Linked DNA regions of Lonchura striata. The protein of the gene in region 1 purifies or fractionates together with the protein of each later gene. This does not show direct contact. Links are inferred from orthologs where the notes say so. Each region holds a gene or a part of one and is shown in the gene's direction. Other genes may lie near its edges.

What was found. The genes of interacting proteins can lie anywhere in the genome.
Region 2: the proteins of G3BP2 (region 1) and CAPRIN1 purify together in Homo sapiens (affinity purification with mass spectrometry; 5 studies listed by BioGRID and IntAct, with this or other methods). This does not show direct contact. The link is inferred for Lonchura striata from reciprocal best matches to the Homo sapiens genes G3BP2 and CAPRIN1.

The regions. Positions count from the first base shown.
Region 1 is NC_134606.1:73,018,280-73,025,551, reverse strand, and holds the start of G3BP2 (ras GTPase-activating protein-binding protein 2), read left to right. Parts: upstream 1-4,245; 5' UTR 4,246-4,376; intron 4,377-7,272. Other genes in the region: USO1 (general vesicular transport factor p115), read right to left, coding at 1,549-1,613, 1,721-1,807, 2,034-2,099.
Region 2 is NC_134608.1:54,438,394-54,446,440, reverse strand, and holds the start of CAPRIN1 (caprin-1), read left to right. Parts: upstream 1-5,032; 5' UTR 5,033-5,229; intron 5,230-5,505; 5' UTR 5,506-5,507; coding exon 5,508-5,711; intron 5,712-8,047. UniProt on the Homo sapiens protein: mRNA-binding protein that acts as a regulator of mRNAs transport, translation and/or stability, and which is involved in neurogenesis, synaptic plasticity in neurons and cell proliferation and migration in multiple cell types.

The DNA.
Region 1 (7,272 bases):
GATTTCATTTGAGTCCAGGAAATCTCATCTCCACCATTACTGACACCGAACAGTAACGCAAACTCCAGCCTGTAACAACTGCACTGATCACACACAGACACTACAACTCTTTCTCCAAGGAGCCACAGCAACCAACACTTGGCCCAAGCTCATGTGCTGGCCCACCAAACAAGAAACAGCAAATGACTTGAGCAACATCTTGTCAGAGCAACATGTTTTCTTCAGCTGAAAACCCCCAAAAGACCCCACGTATTTATTATTTTCTTTCCACTACAGCCTGAGTCACACAAGATGTGTGCAGAACCGCAGCATCCACAATTTCCAAAGGATCAACTGGAGCTCAAAAAACACTGCAAAGCCTTAAGTTCCTGCCCTAAAGGGTTCAGGTTGCCTACTCAACTGGATCAGTAGGGCCCCGCCTCCCTTCTCAAAGTTCAAATCTGCCCTCAGAGCAGATAAGTGGATGAAAGTAGGCTCCTTAACCTAGTTTTTTTTAAGGGCTTCCCCTTCACATCTGTGACAGTTACTCCTATAACCTTCCCTCTCACTGTTTGCACCAGGTCAGACATTCAATTTTAACTACCCAGCCCACAGAATAGGAATAACATGCACTTGCCTAGACCTTTTTCCCAGCTGGCATAACTGGCCAGGCAAGAAAGGCCTCAATCAGCAGTTTCCAGTCCTGTATCCATAACTGGGGCAGGAGGCCTCCTGGTAGACACTGAACTGCAGCTTTCCCAATTCTCAGTACCAGCATCAAAGGACACGCTCCTCCTTCCAGTCTATGCCCATCCAGGTATTCCACAGGCTCATGACATTCTCACAAAGTGACCAGCTTGAGATTCAAGTCCAGACTGAATGACTATCCCCTTACGGTTGCCTACCTAAATACCAAGTATGTGCAGTATTTGAAGCTGAAATGCAAGGACTGCAAACAGGCTCCATTGTACAACATGTGGGCACTGTCAGGTACAGCAGTGATTGCAAGGATGGATAACAAAGACATTCCAAGCACTGGATTGCATAAATATTACATTCTAGTCCACACAGAGCACCCAGACTCATGCCATCTGCCTCAGCAGCAGCCTCGGAGCCCGGCTCTCCTGTTTGCCTGAACCCAACTTGTTTTTAACACGCACAAGCAAAAACACACCCCTGCTGACTTCATTCTTTTTCTCCTAATTCTGTCTAGCTCACCTTTTGCCCAGTAACAGCTTGGTCTGGGTTATTCCAAACAGTGTGTTTAGTTAACATGATCTGTTTGGACTCACCTCTCTACAGTAGTGGAAAGATAACCCCGATAAGCATTAAGACATACTTTGGTAGTACCTCCACTCCAGAGTTTGTCTTTCTGTCCCTCATCCCGGTTCCTGGAATTCTTTCTTTTTACCTCCAAATAGCCTCTCACGACATTTACCAGCAGAAAAAGCCAAGGTGGCAGAGGAGCTGTCAGAAACGCAGCTGCCCTCCCGGCTTTGTCCGCACAGTGCACCAGGTCTGCATCTGCTGTGTCAGCCCAGCAGCCCAGAGCAGCTGCAGGATGCTTACCGGTCCGTCTGGAGAACGTGGATGAGGTGTTCCATGGCTTGTATGCCGACCTCCAACCGGTATTTCTGTTTGGACGACACACAAAAAAGTTCACGGTCGAGGCCAAACACCACAGAAAGACTGGTTCACAGCACCTGACAGTACGCCGCTATTCAGGAAGTTGGCCACGTACCTTGGATAACGACTTGAGAGCACGGACAGCATCCCTCCGGTCATCCAGCAACGTGGACGAAGCTACGCGGTCACACAGCTTCTGGATCTGGAAGGGCACGTACAACGCACGGGATAAGCCGGCGCGGCGGCAGGGGACACTCCCGGCACACGGGAACCGCACGGGAGAGCCGCTCCCTGCCCGCCGAGCCGGCAGCCCCGAGCGGCACCGGGCACCACCCGGGCCTGGCACGGGCAGCGGCGGCAGGGCGGCCCCGGCCGGGGCTGTCGCGGCGCGCCGGCCCTGCCCCGGCCCGGCCGCGTCCCCCGCTCACCGTGTCGGCTCCCGAGGGCTGCGGGCCGGCGCTGGGGCCGCCCATGACGCCCCGCAAGAAGTTCATGGCGGCTCGGCCCGGCCGGCGCTGCCGCCGCCCCGCGGAAGCGGCCGCCGCGCCTGCGCTGCCACGTGGCGCGGCCGCGGCCGCGGGCGGGGCCGGCGCCGCTCGGCCCGGGAGCGCCGCCGCTCCTCCCGGCGCCTGCCTCCCCAGCAAAGGCTCGCCCGGTGCCTGCCTCCCCAGCAAAGGCTCGGCCGGTGCCTGCCTCCCCAGCAAAGGCTCGCCCGGTGCCCGCCTCCCGAGCAAAAGCTCGCTCGCAGTGAGCAGCGGATCCGCAGCGGCAGAGGGCGTTCACCTGTCTGGGAAGTAAAAAAGCGCACGACTCGAGCACGGTTCCCCTCCCGCGTCTCGGCGTCTGTGCATCCTCAACCACCGCTAGGCAAACGCACAGGCTTGGCATGCAAGACATCGCGTTCACTGCTAAGGAAAAACAGCGAGGTGATAGCTACCGTGATCTATAAGTAGAAAACGTCCAAACACTTTTGAAACTGAGTCACCTCCGTGAGAACCAGAAGCTTACCTAGATAAGGCTGGTGGTTCAAGTCCAAGAGCACCACGAAGTTCTTAAATTACTTCCAGATGCTGAATGCCCCCATTGGGTGCTACTGCAAAATATTTGAGATTCCTGCTGAGGAGCATCAAATCCTTCATGCACTGCACCCACATATCAGCTTCCAGCCTAATGCTGCCTTCCTGATGGTTTCTGACAGGGTTTGACAGTGTTTAGCTTTCTGCATATCCAATCAAAGTAATTTTAATTGCAACCACAGCACAGAAAGGGCCAATGCCATCACTTCCAAAAACGACTTCACTTCCTTCCAGGGAGACCCCTCTCACGTGACAGTCTAAATCAAAAGCTTTGAGGATTTTATTTTCCTTATCAAGTATAGAATGAAATGAACCACCCAGCACATGGCCCAGAGGGTTTTCACCTTGTTGGGCAACAAAGAACCCTTCAGTGAAGTTTGGTCACCAAATGATGAGGTGGTTATAGCAACCATAGGCATGTCGGCACTTTCCTGATGCAGAGGAAGGCAACTCCAGCCTGCAGTCACCACACAGCCCCAGCTGTGCTGCAGCCTTGCTGAGCACAGTCATGCATACCCGGGCTATGCATTCCTGACTGCTTCTCCTCCTCCCATGCCTGCCCAGCAGCACGTCAATGCTACAAAACCCAGCCAGAGCTCACTCACAACAGCCCTAGCTTGTAAAGGTCCAGATCCTCTTACCCCTCATCCCCCACCAGCTGCAAAACAAGCCAGAGAAAAGAAAAAATTCCTACCAAACCAAAGATGTTGAGAGATTCAAATGTTAGGAAAAGTTCCCTCTCTTCCCCACAGTGATGATTCAAGGCCCATTCTGGGTCAGTGCAGATGCACAGCAGAACTCACCTGACACGTCCAAGTTGGTGTAATGAGATTCTGGTCCTTGGCAGAAAAACATCAAACAACCAACACCAGATTCTTCCACAAGCCAAAATTTATTTCAGTATTTCCACCCTCACATAGACAACCCCAGCAAACAAAGTGAGCTGCTTCCAAAAGATGTGTCTGACGCACCCAAACTGGCCTCCTGGAAACGTAATATACTCCAAGGGCAAATTCTAAAGGAGCTACCTGACATTCAACCTGCAGTCACAGATAGTTTTTTATTTCAGCATAAATCGAAAATGTTTCTGTTTCAACGAGAAGCTGCAAACCTCTAACGGCGCAATGTATGGGGGCACAGCTCTCCGCAAACCCCTGCTGTATCCCCACACTGACCGCCCCGCGGTTCCGCAGGCTGGAGCTCCGTCCAAGCGACACTGCTCCGGCAGGCAGCACCAGGAGGAACCGAGCTCTCCCGGCCACGCTCCACGACAGCCACCGGCGCCTTGGGGCCACGGTAAGGGCCGGAGCTAAGGCCCTGCCCGCCGCTCCGGCCGCCGCCGCTCGGAACCATCGGCCCTCCCCTCCCTCCCGGCCGGGCTAAACGCGCCTGGCTCCCGCCTGACGTCATCGCGCCGCCCGCTGCTGATTGGCGGAGAGCGCCGGGGGCCGCCCCGCCCGTCCCCCGGGCGTGCGCAGGCGCGCGCGCACGCAGGCACGCACGGGAGCCGCGGCCGCCCGCCCTCCCCCGCCCGGCTGTGACACCGCCGCCGCCGCGCCCCGCTCGCCCTGTGCTGCCCGCGCCGCGGGACGCGCCGCCCGAGGGACACGCCCGCCGCGCCCGGCTCCGCGCAGCTCCCGGCGGCCTGGGCGAGAACGCGCCCCGGCCCCGCGCACCGAGACTTTTGTCCCTTAGGTGAGCGGGGCGGGGGGCGGGGTAGGCCCCGGCGCGGGCTCTGTTTGTGTGCGGGGCGGCGGCTGCTCAGCGGCCGCTGAGGGCAGCGGCGGGGCGGCGCTGAGCGGGGCTGGGGGCAGCGCCCCGGGTCCCGCTTTGCCCTTCGCTGCCGGCTCGGAGCGCGGGGGGGCGGCTTTTGTTCGCCGTCACCTTGGCGGCTCTTCCGCCTCGCCCCGGGCGGCGCGGGGAGGCCGGGGAAAAGCGCCCCCAGGCCCCGCGTCGCTCGATGCCGGCCGCCGCTTCCTGTCTCACCTCATGGATCGATCCCTGTGCAGGGGCCTCCAGAGGTACGTGGGCTTCGGCATGGCCAGGGTGATGCTGCGGCGGCCTCGGTCGTGCTGCCGAAGCTCTCTTAGCTCCCCATCCTCGGGTCAGCGGGCCCCTCTGCTCTCCTGCAAATTAGTACAGCCGTGGTAACCTGGCTATGAGGGCTGCCCCAGCTCTGCAGACCTCGCCTTTCTGTGCTTCCCCTTTCCTCAGTCGTAACCTGGGCTACTCTGTTTGCACACGGAGTGATATTGCAGAAGTTGTTGTGAGCACCTTTTATTCTGCAGAGCTGGATACCTCGAGTAGGTCTTTTCTGAGCTGCTCTCATTTGTCACCTGAGTTGAGCTCACTGGGTTCTCCGGCTTCTGCCTCCCTTCTTCTCAGAGGTCATTGCAGTTGCAGTGTGGGTGCCCAGGAACATCTCCACAACAAATCTTTTAAATCCCTTGGGTAGCTGGGTGAGCCTGGCTCTTGAGCTTGGTTCCAGGTACCACTGCATAAAAGGACTATCACAGGAGAGAATGAGATGATATGACATTATTGTTTAATTTCAAGCAGAAAGTCTTGGTCAGTCGCGTAGACATTGTTACTGTGGCCTTCCGTACTGGTTTGGCAACTCTGAAGCCCTCTGTATGTTCTTCAGTTCGTTGTGCAAATGATCTACTTTCCTGCAGAAAGCAGTGTAAAGATGCCCAAGGTATTTTGGAACAGTTGGGAAATAGGGGAAGTTGTAACAATCTATACCAAATTTCTGAATGTAATGTGGCTCTGTTACTGTAGCACTGCAAGTGAGTATAGGATTTGTCAGCTTGGATTGTGAGCTGAGAAGTGGTTGCTGACAAACTGCTGTTGCTTTATCTCCATAGTTGACTTCTCGTGCAGGAGGCATTCTGTGTCCATTGTGGGTGTGGGTACAGGGCCATGCCTCCCCTAGGAAAGCTTGTTATTCTGAAGGATTCCTTCTTCTTGTGATCCCTGGTTGCTTGGATGTCAGAAACATAATCTTGATTTGCCATTGGAAGTGTTCTTACAGTTGCTGCTTGGCAGATGTGGGGTTACTGTGTGAAATTATGAGCTGTATTTGGTGACTTTTTTCATTAGAAATGGAAAATCTTTTCTCTGAAAACTAGCATTAGCTGAGGAGAAAATCAAATGTCCATCATCCATGTAACTGTTTTCCTTTATGGAACTGAGGATTCAGTTTAAGCATCTCTTCTCATGCTTAAGATTATTTCACAGCACTGAAAATACAGTGGGGATCCACTGTGCCTTAAGAGGCTCAGTGTTGGATTTGAGTCTTCTGCTGTGGTAGTTGTGGTGCTGGATGTCACTGCTTTTGAGATCATTTAACAAAGAAAGAACTGTGTTTCAACTCAAGTAAACATGAAAAGATGGATATGTCAGAGTGATAGATGTATCTGATGAGACACTAGGAGAAAGGCTCCGAACCTGCTCGTGGATGGTGACACAGAGGTGGAATGGCTCTCCCAGAGCAGATCACTGTTGTTACTGCTCTTTGGGTGCGTGTTGGCCCTTTTGGACTGCACAGCTAAATTGCCCAGAGGATGGTCCCCTATGGCAGCTGTGTGCCCAAGATACAGGGTGCTGGTAAACTTCTCCCAAAAAACCCCAACCACAAACCAAAACTAAACCAACCTCTCAGGAGAGCTTGCTTTGAAAGAACTGCGTGCTGTGCCTTTGAGCCCAGCCACTTGAGAATGTAGCACAAAGGTAAAGGAGATCATAAAGGAAAGGCATTCTGATAAATTACACATGGTTGCTGGTCTTTGCTGCAGAATGAGGATGCTCTGAGTGCTGACCTTGCTGAGCATGACAGAGGGATGGTCGTGCCAATACTGGCATGTTGTCTGGGACTTGTGTTGCCCTTTCAGGATGTTTTTCCTTGCAGTTGGTGCTGCTTTGCCTGTCGATGGGGTACCTGCAGGGCGAGCTGTGGCTGCTCACACGATGTGCACCGCTGATTCGTGCCTGCGGATTGCAGGAGCAAGCCTGTCCTGCAAGGCATTATCTTTTGCTTGTCTACAGTAAGAAACACAGATTAAGACTGATAAATCTGGGTTCAGGACAAATGTGTCCAAGATTGTGAAAGCTGCTCTCCCCTTTCCTTCTGTTTTCCTTCAGCTCCAGAGGTGTGCGAGGTGGCACTTGTAGCTTTTGCTTAGTGTGCCCGCTGTGTGGGGAACATCTTCCTGATTTGCAAGAATATTTTCTCAAACTTATTTTTGTTTTAAGTGTTATATTCAAATGATTAATGACTTGGACAAGAATTGCTAACTTGTGGATATACAAACAAGCCATGCTGTTGCAGATTTATGGAAAATAATAGCTTGATGTCTGTGTGCCTATAGTTACAGATAAATTGTTCCATGGATGACTTGTTCAGAGGATGAAATTTGCTTGTCAATAGAACAAAATGTTATTTGCTTATAGTTTTTTATTAAAACAGCTGGTGAGGCCCACAACTCCCTTGCCAAGCTTAGAGATTTCTTTTGATGGAGGTTATGTTCAAGTTCAGGTAGCTTTCTTCAGCTACTGTCAGAATTCAGTTCAGCCTTGTTCTGGTTTGTTT
Region 2 (8,047 bases), on another chromosome or scaffold:
TTATGTATGTGATGTGCAGGAAAATCCTGCGGTATGCCTTGGAGAATGTAAAGTTTGATTGGCAATTTTCAGGTCTTATGAGCATGAATAAATTATGAATATAATTAGCAAAACCCATTGTTTTTCTAATGACTGTGCTGACCAAATCAGCTGAAGAGATGACGGGTTCAGATACAAATTTCCCAGGGGGGTGGGTAAGAGGGCAGGCATTGGATCTGCTCATTTGTCAAGAACTATTTGGACTCTTCCATTCATAGAAAGAGCCATAGAAATAAAGATAAAATTATTCTATTCATAGAAATAAAGGTAAAAAGTTGCTATTAGGCACATCATAAGCCCCATGTTACCCATTCCATCTACAGTAAAACCTGGCCTTTGGCAGCATCTTTGCCTTTCAATTATTGATTTTCATGATATATTTCAGCACTGGGCTGAATATCCTTTCAGTAAGAGCCTTTTTTTTTTAACTCCACAGTTACAAAGCACATCTCTTTGAGGAAAAAAAAAAAAAGAGTTAAAAAAAGTAATATTTTCTGAGGTGATTAAAAGTTTGGGATGACGACCTCTGTAGATGCTCTCCAGAATTAAAGATCTAAGACAATCAGACTATGATCAGCCTAAATTTGACATATAGCCTCAGGGTATTCTTCTTTAAATGGCTGTGATACACTAAAGCGGCTGAAAAAAAGAAATTGAATAGAAGATTGTTATTTAAGAGGATGCTTTGGTTGGGGCTGCAGCATTTGTCACAATATTTTCCTTAGCAGTGAGGAAATAAAGACAGAATTACTTGATCTAATTTACAAATAAAAAAAAGATGACTGAAAGAGTAAATTAGAGGGAGGACAGGCATAAACATCCTGGAGAGTGTGGTAAGCTGGGCCCATCCAAATTAGCTAAGTCAGGCAAATATAAAGCCCTGGGCAGTTTTGGGCTGCTTTTCAGAGCTTCCTTGGCATGTGTGACCAACCTCCTCCTCCCTTCCTGTGCCAGGGCTTTGTCCATAAACTAAGGCTTGATCTGCTTTGCATGAAGTTTAAAGTGGAGCAAAGGAGTGTCCCAGCCTGGTTCTGCAGCTGGAGACTTCAGTAAACAATTGCTTCATGGAAGGGAAGAAGAACTGAAACAGAAATACCTTTTGTGAGGATTTCCCATCCATGGCTGTGTAGGGAAATCTATCATTTAGTAGCATTTAATCAATTTTTCACTGCATTGGATTGGAATTATGTCAGTTTTGACTAATCATACCATTAGACTTCATTTAATCTCCTTTGAACTCAAACACCTTCTGAATTTTTTTATTGACTTGTCTCCCAAAATATCAATGTTTAACATTTCTGATAAAAACTTTGTATTTTAATCTTATTCAGGCAAAAAACATACACTGAGCTTTCAATCCTTATTCAGAGAAGTCTATTTTGTCTGGGTCTCATTTTATTATGAAAGTTAGCCAGCCTGTGGGCTTAGATAGAACGGGAATTTCTCTCCTTTGAGCAAATTCCTGTGGAAAAAGGAAACCTAAATAAAAATAAAGCGATACCTTTCTAAAACAGTCTGATAAGCAGGAGCCCCAACTTTTGAAATGTGCAGACTGGGACCCCCTCAAAACCTAGCAACCCTAATCCTCGTATAACAAATCCGGGAACTGGAAACTGAGGTTGGTCCTTTCCATTTTCTGTGCTCCAGAGGTGGAATGGGATCTGCTTTTCAATTTAGGCTGTGGTTATCTCTATAACCTGACAGAACACTGGCAATGCTGAAATCCCATAACATTCCATGAGCTCAGGCAGGGAACTGCTTGATTAACAGACCTGTAATGATGTGCAGGAACAAAATTTCATTTTAGTCTTATGGAGCCTATTTAAAACAAATCCAATTAAAAAAAAAAAAAACTACCAAAAACCAAAAACCCCAAACAATCCAGCACAGAAAAAAATGGAAGCTATTAATTATGTTCCTTTCATTACATAGTTCAGGATAATTCTGAGTATGACCAGGGAGTAGATGTGGTGATTAAGGAGAGAGTGCTGAGTGGGCCAGAGTTCCTGGTTTGGGGAAATTTGGAACAGATCAGCAGGGTGGAAAAGCTGATGAGCTTTGGACAAGTGGGGAACCAGAAGATGGAAGGATATAGGGATGGGATGCCAGGTTTGGGAAGACAGGAGCACATCTACAGGAATGGTCAGAGCCTGGCAGAACTGCAGGGAGACACAGCTCATCCTTGGGGCTCACAAGGAGCTAAGCTAGTGTTGGTTTTCTAAGTTTTTACAGAGATGAGGCATCTGAGAGGCATTTTAAAAGATTTTATTCCATTATCAGTCTCGATGATGAGATGTAAAAAGGCTATTCTGTCAGAAGCTAACCTATTCTTGGTTACAATGCTTTATAAATGTTTTTCAGTTTATTTGTTTTTGCCACACAATGTTGCCATTATTTCTAACACTAATCACCTCTTTGGTCTTGCTACAATGCATCTTTCACCGTTCTAGTTTTCTAAAATATCTAGTCTTTTTGTAAGGCTACATTTTGAAACTTGTTGAAATTTAGTTTTAGTTTAATTTCTCTCTTAACAATGTAATCTCTATTCTATGGCTTTCTTAAATTAGCACACTTAATCTTAGTGTTTGTATACAGATATATAAGACTGTGAGTTTTCTGTCAGGTTTTGAGAATTCTTTGCAAATCCGTTTCCCACAACCTGCCACATTGCTTTTGTTTGGAAATAATTTTTAGGGCATTGGAGGGGAAAAAAAAAGCTGTAATCTTTCCTTTTTTCTTTTCAGCTTGGCAATAGGACAAGGGAGTAGAGGACTAGTACTACTTCCTTGTAGGATTTTCCCCAGAGATAGTGGCAAGGCTTGGCTTGGTCAAAAATCCCCGATCAAAGGGGAGCAAAGAGGGCAAAAGGGAAGAAATTTGAAATGGGAAGGGTCGGGAATGTGACTTCCTTCATCTTGAGCAGTTCTGTGTTCTAAAGGTTCCCATTTGTGGAAGTTCTTCTGCTGGGGGGCCTTCTCTCCTCTCAGGCCTTTCCCTGGGGACTGGACAAACGTGACTCCAAACCCAGCAGCTCCGGAGCTGAGCTTCATTTTGCAAAGCTCCCAAACACAAAATGCAAGGATAATTATCTCTGAGAGATGGAAATGCTGAGACCCACATGCTGATTACAAACTCATCACGCTGGAAGCTGCCAGGATGGAGTTTACCCACAGCTCAGCAACACTTCCTCCAAGCAAAGGTCTCAGCTCTTACTGGGAATTCCGCAGGGTTTTCCTCTGCCAGGTGCTGGTGATCAATACTGTTGGCACAGAAGGATGAGGAATTTGTGGTCACTGTTTGTACAGGAATGGTGGGAAAGGAGCAGATCAATAACTCACAGCAAGACCTGCCTGAAGCAATGAGCACATAAGTAGTAAGAAATATTTCAGGAGCTGAGATTAACTGCAATCTCGTGCAATAACTGCTCTCAAGAGCAGCCTTTTAACTTCCTTTATTTCTGGGACAATGAACGTTTGCTACCTCATGTTTCACTTCTCCGTGAAGAATAAACACCTTGAAAGGTTTTGAGTACAAACTCTATCAGAGCTTGGCTGAAAAATTTGCCTAAACTGTGCCCAGAACTTATGGAGAATAGCAATGGCAATGTGAGGAAAAAGGAGAAATTAATAGGAATCGGTGAGACAATTCCATGTTATTTTAAACCACTGTATTTTGTGGTCAAAAAGCCTCAAGCACTTCACATGTTGACAGAAAAACTGCATTTTGCTTGGGGAAAAAAAGTCATTTCAACCCCCATGAATGGGGCTTGGAGAAGTAAATCCATAGAAATTAAATCTCATAAATACAATGGAATTTAAAAAATGCAGTGGTATTACCAAAATCCTTTTGTTGAACAGTGAAAAGGACTTTCAATAATTGAAGATTTTGTTTTTATACCTCATTTATTCAACAGAAATAATTGGGATGCATGCTTTATTACATGTTCCATAACCTGTTATGCAAAATGAAGTGATTTGTAAAGCAAATATCTAAATACAATATGACAAAGCATTGAGCTGCTCCAGAAAATGCAGAGATACATGGAAAGCAGAAGTGTAAGGAGCAACATTTACAGATGGAGTGGAGGGGGGAAATCTGCCTGTCGAGTAAACAGTTTCTTGCTGCATTATCAGCTTGGGGAGCAAGAACCAGGATGGAAACAAGGGCAAGGATTTGGTGAGGAAGGGCCATGAGACATCTCCCATGAGGTTGGGCCAGGTGTTCAAGACTGGGCTTTTTCCTTCTTTTCAATGTCATTGATTCTGTGTATCCACGAATAAAGAGATCAAAGAAAAATACCCAACACTTTAAAAAATAACAGTACATACAGTCTTAAACTGCGTATTATAACCAAAATTTTCAATGTCCACGTGCAGCTAGATTTTCAGGGATTTCTATTCCCAGAGTCTTGCACCCATTAATTCCAGGACAACTCAATACCAAATCCTTTCCCATTTAGCTCCTGGCCTTATGAAGGCAGCGGCATTTCATTCTCCAGCTGTGCCGCACGAAGCATCTGGAGCACTCATCCCAAAATTCCTTTTCCTCACAGAAACCCCGGTGGTGCATTTTATTTATTAACACTGAAACAATAAACTGGTCGCAGAGAAGGTTTACTGAGCGGTGGCAGCTTTTGGTGACTGAACACGCTACGTGGGGATCGCAGGGATGTATCTGGAACACAAATCCCAGCCTGACACACAGATGAAGCAAGTGTTCCCGGCAAGTGAGCTGCGGCTCTTAGGGCTCAGTGAGAGCCGTGACGCTGTGGCACGGTTCGGGGGCTCGCCGCAGGGCACCGAGAGGCGTTCCGGGGCCGGTGCGCGGCGGGAGCGGGCGGGAGGCGCTGAGGGACGCGCCGCTATTGTGTCTGGCGCTGAGCCGCCCGCCGCGCGCCTGAAGGACCCGCGCGGGCAGCGCAGCAGCTGCCGCCGCGGGCTCAGGCGTTCTCTGCGGCCACCCGCGGACCGGCCAGGACCCCGCGCGCTCCCGCGCCGCCTCGCCTCTACGCGCCGGCGTGCGCGCCGCCGCTGTCTCGCCCTCCCTCCGTCTCTCTCTCTCTCTCTCTCTCTCTCTGCCGTGGTAGCAGGAGCAGCGCGGGCGGCGGGGCTGGAGCGTGGCTGAGGCGGCCATTCCTAGCGAGCGAGAGAGAGCGCAGCGTATCCCCCCCCGGGCTCAGTGGCGCACAGGGTGAGGGGGGCGGCGCGGCCCCTCCGGACACCCCGAGCGGGGCGGGGGGGGGAGGGGAGCGTGAAGGGAAAATGACCGTTGGGCGCGAGGCTGCCGTCACGTGACCGCCGCCTCGCGCGCGGCTAGGGAGGGGCGGGTTGGGGGGGGGCGCGCGCGCCGGGGCAGGTGCGGCTCGTGCGCGCGCGGGGCCGCGTCCCCGCCGTCCGCGCTCCCCCCGTGACGCGCCCGCCGCTCTCTCCGCTCTCTTGTCTCTCTCCCGCCCTCCCTCCTTCACAGAGATGCCCTCGGCCACCAACAGCACCATGGCGAGCAGCACCACCGGCAGCAGCACCGGCAAAGCGGGACCGGGCAGCGAGGCTGCTCCGGCGGCGGCGGCCCCGCAGGCGGCGGCGGGTGTGAACATCACCACGGTGCAGACCGAGGCCATGAAGCAGATCCTGGGGGTGATCGACAAGAAGCTGCGCAACCTGGAGAAGAAGAAGGTGATCCCCACGTCCCCTCTGATCCTCCAGCCCACCCGGGGTGCCCACCCGCCTTGTCCCCCGCCTTCCGGCCGCCCCTGCCCCCGAGCCCGTCCGGCCTGTTTCCCTTCCGCTCCCTTGTGCCGGGCCCTCCGCCGAGCCCTCCCGGGTTGTTCCCGGCGTGGCCCCCAGAGGCCGCCTGCTGGAAGGTTCCAGAAGGGCGAGCGCCGCTCCCCCGGCCTGTCCCCTTCCCCTCCCGGCGTCCCCCTGCCCCCTCCCAGGCCGCCCTCCCGTCGCCCCGGGACCTAGCCCGGTTTCCTCCCGGCTCGCGGAGCAGAGCCCGGCGGGGTCGCGGCTGCCGACCCCCCCTTCGCCCCCGCTGCCCGGAGCCCCCTCGGCGGCGCCGCTCCCTTCCCCCTCCTTCCGCCTTTTGTTCCCCGCGGCGGGGCCTTTCCCAGCCGCGCCATCCCGGGGCTCGGCTCCCCACATGCCCGCTCCGTGCAGCGGCCGCAGCGCGCCCGGTGCCCGTGGCCGGCGGAGCGGGCGGGCAGAGGCTGCGGTGCCCCCGGTGCCGGGCACATGGACGCGGAGCTGTAACATGGCGGCGGCCCGGCCTCCCCGGCGGAGCTCATTGTGCCGCCCGCACAAAGCCGGGGCCACCCCACCCCGCCCCATGTCACCGCTCGCTTTCCATCGCCCTAAGCTCAACTCTTTGGGAGCCTGAGCCCAGCTGGAAGCAGCCTTCCACGGGTTATTTTTAGAAAGAGCAGCTACTCAATCCCTGGTCCTTGGACGGTTCGAGTTGTGGCACGAGAGAAAAAGGCTGTCGTGGTTCCTTCTGGCGTGTTTTGTACCTTCTCGGTGGTGGCAGATTAAATGAGCTTTGCAGGGCTTTGCAATCTCCAGAGCATGAGGCGTCCGTCAAAAAAAGAACATAGCCTCAAGACTTGCCTCAAAATGCCACAGTCCAAGTTAAAATTACAAAAAAAATTGTATTTGTGCTAGACCTCTAAATCTCTTATTATCCTTAGAAGTGAATAAGCACAGTAAGTGTTCTATTCATTTTTTTAACTGTCACTTTTGATATTTTTCATAGTGTTCCGTATTGTATAAGGTGGAAGTATTCCCAGTAAATTAGTCTGTACAGGTGGGTTGTAAAGGAGAGAAGCTGTGCTTTACCTGTAAATAATAGACTGTGTGTCAATAATACACTGCATAAATACACTGTATACAGTGTAGCTTCCCACTTCAAAACTGGGTGTGGGGTTTTCTTGGTTTTCAGAAATGACATGGCAAAAAGCAGCAAGCCAGGACATTTTAGGTAAGTTTTAGAATCAGAGAAGCTTTTTCTCTGTGTCTGTAGCGTGTAGACAGGACAAGATGTCTGTTTTAAACTTGGCTAATACACAGGAATATCTGCACAGCCAATACTGGTCCTCAGCTTGAGAAGGAGAGCAGATCTTTCTGTCTCTGGTTCTTTCAATACAAAAAAATTGTTTGAAAATTAACTGTTGTATCCAATATACACAAAAATCCTCTGAAAATATTTTTATTATGTTAAAAGCATGTATTTTAAAAAACAAAATCAGCAAGTGAACATTCTGACCTGTTCTGTACTTGGGAGTAATCAAGAGGATAAAGCAGTGTTACTGGTGTGAGGGTGCTTGGGAGCAGTATTTTTATTTACCTTTAAATAATTTACACTTGCCATAGCCATTCCATTCTATTTGAGCGAAGTTTTAGTTACAAGTGAGTAGACGAGACAAAGTGCCCTTTTTTTTCCTGTTGGAAGATGTTTCATGAAAATTATTGAAAGCATTTATTTTTTTAATACTCTGTGCTGGGCAATGTGGGCTTAAAGAACAGGCAAGAGCTGGGGCTTAAAAAAAAAAGAAAAAAAAGCTCTGTGTTGTTTCTCACTGATGAATTAAAGTTTAAAGATTCCTAAGTCTTAATGGACTGAAGTTCTGAAACTTCCTGAAGGAGGACTCATAAGCACTACAAAAGTCATGAGAGAAATGGTGTTTGGTGTATTAAAGCAGAGGAACTCATTTGTGGGCTTCAGCCTCTCCCTTGGTGGGGGAGCCAAGGGTTCCGTAGTAAATAATCTGTCCTTTAATAAAGAGAGCAGCACATGCTTTGTGTCTTAAAACAAAGCTCATTGTACGCATCAGGATTTCCTTGTATTTTGCATCTTTGGACAAGAATATATTTTTAATTTTCCCAACCATCCAGAAAGTAAAATTGTTCTGGAAACTACACAGACAGGAGTGGATGAGAAATGCAGTAAATCTCACTGGGAACTTGTGCTCAGTTGGACAGTTAATCCTTTCTTTGTCAGCAGCTGCTAACGAAGG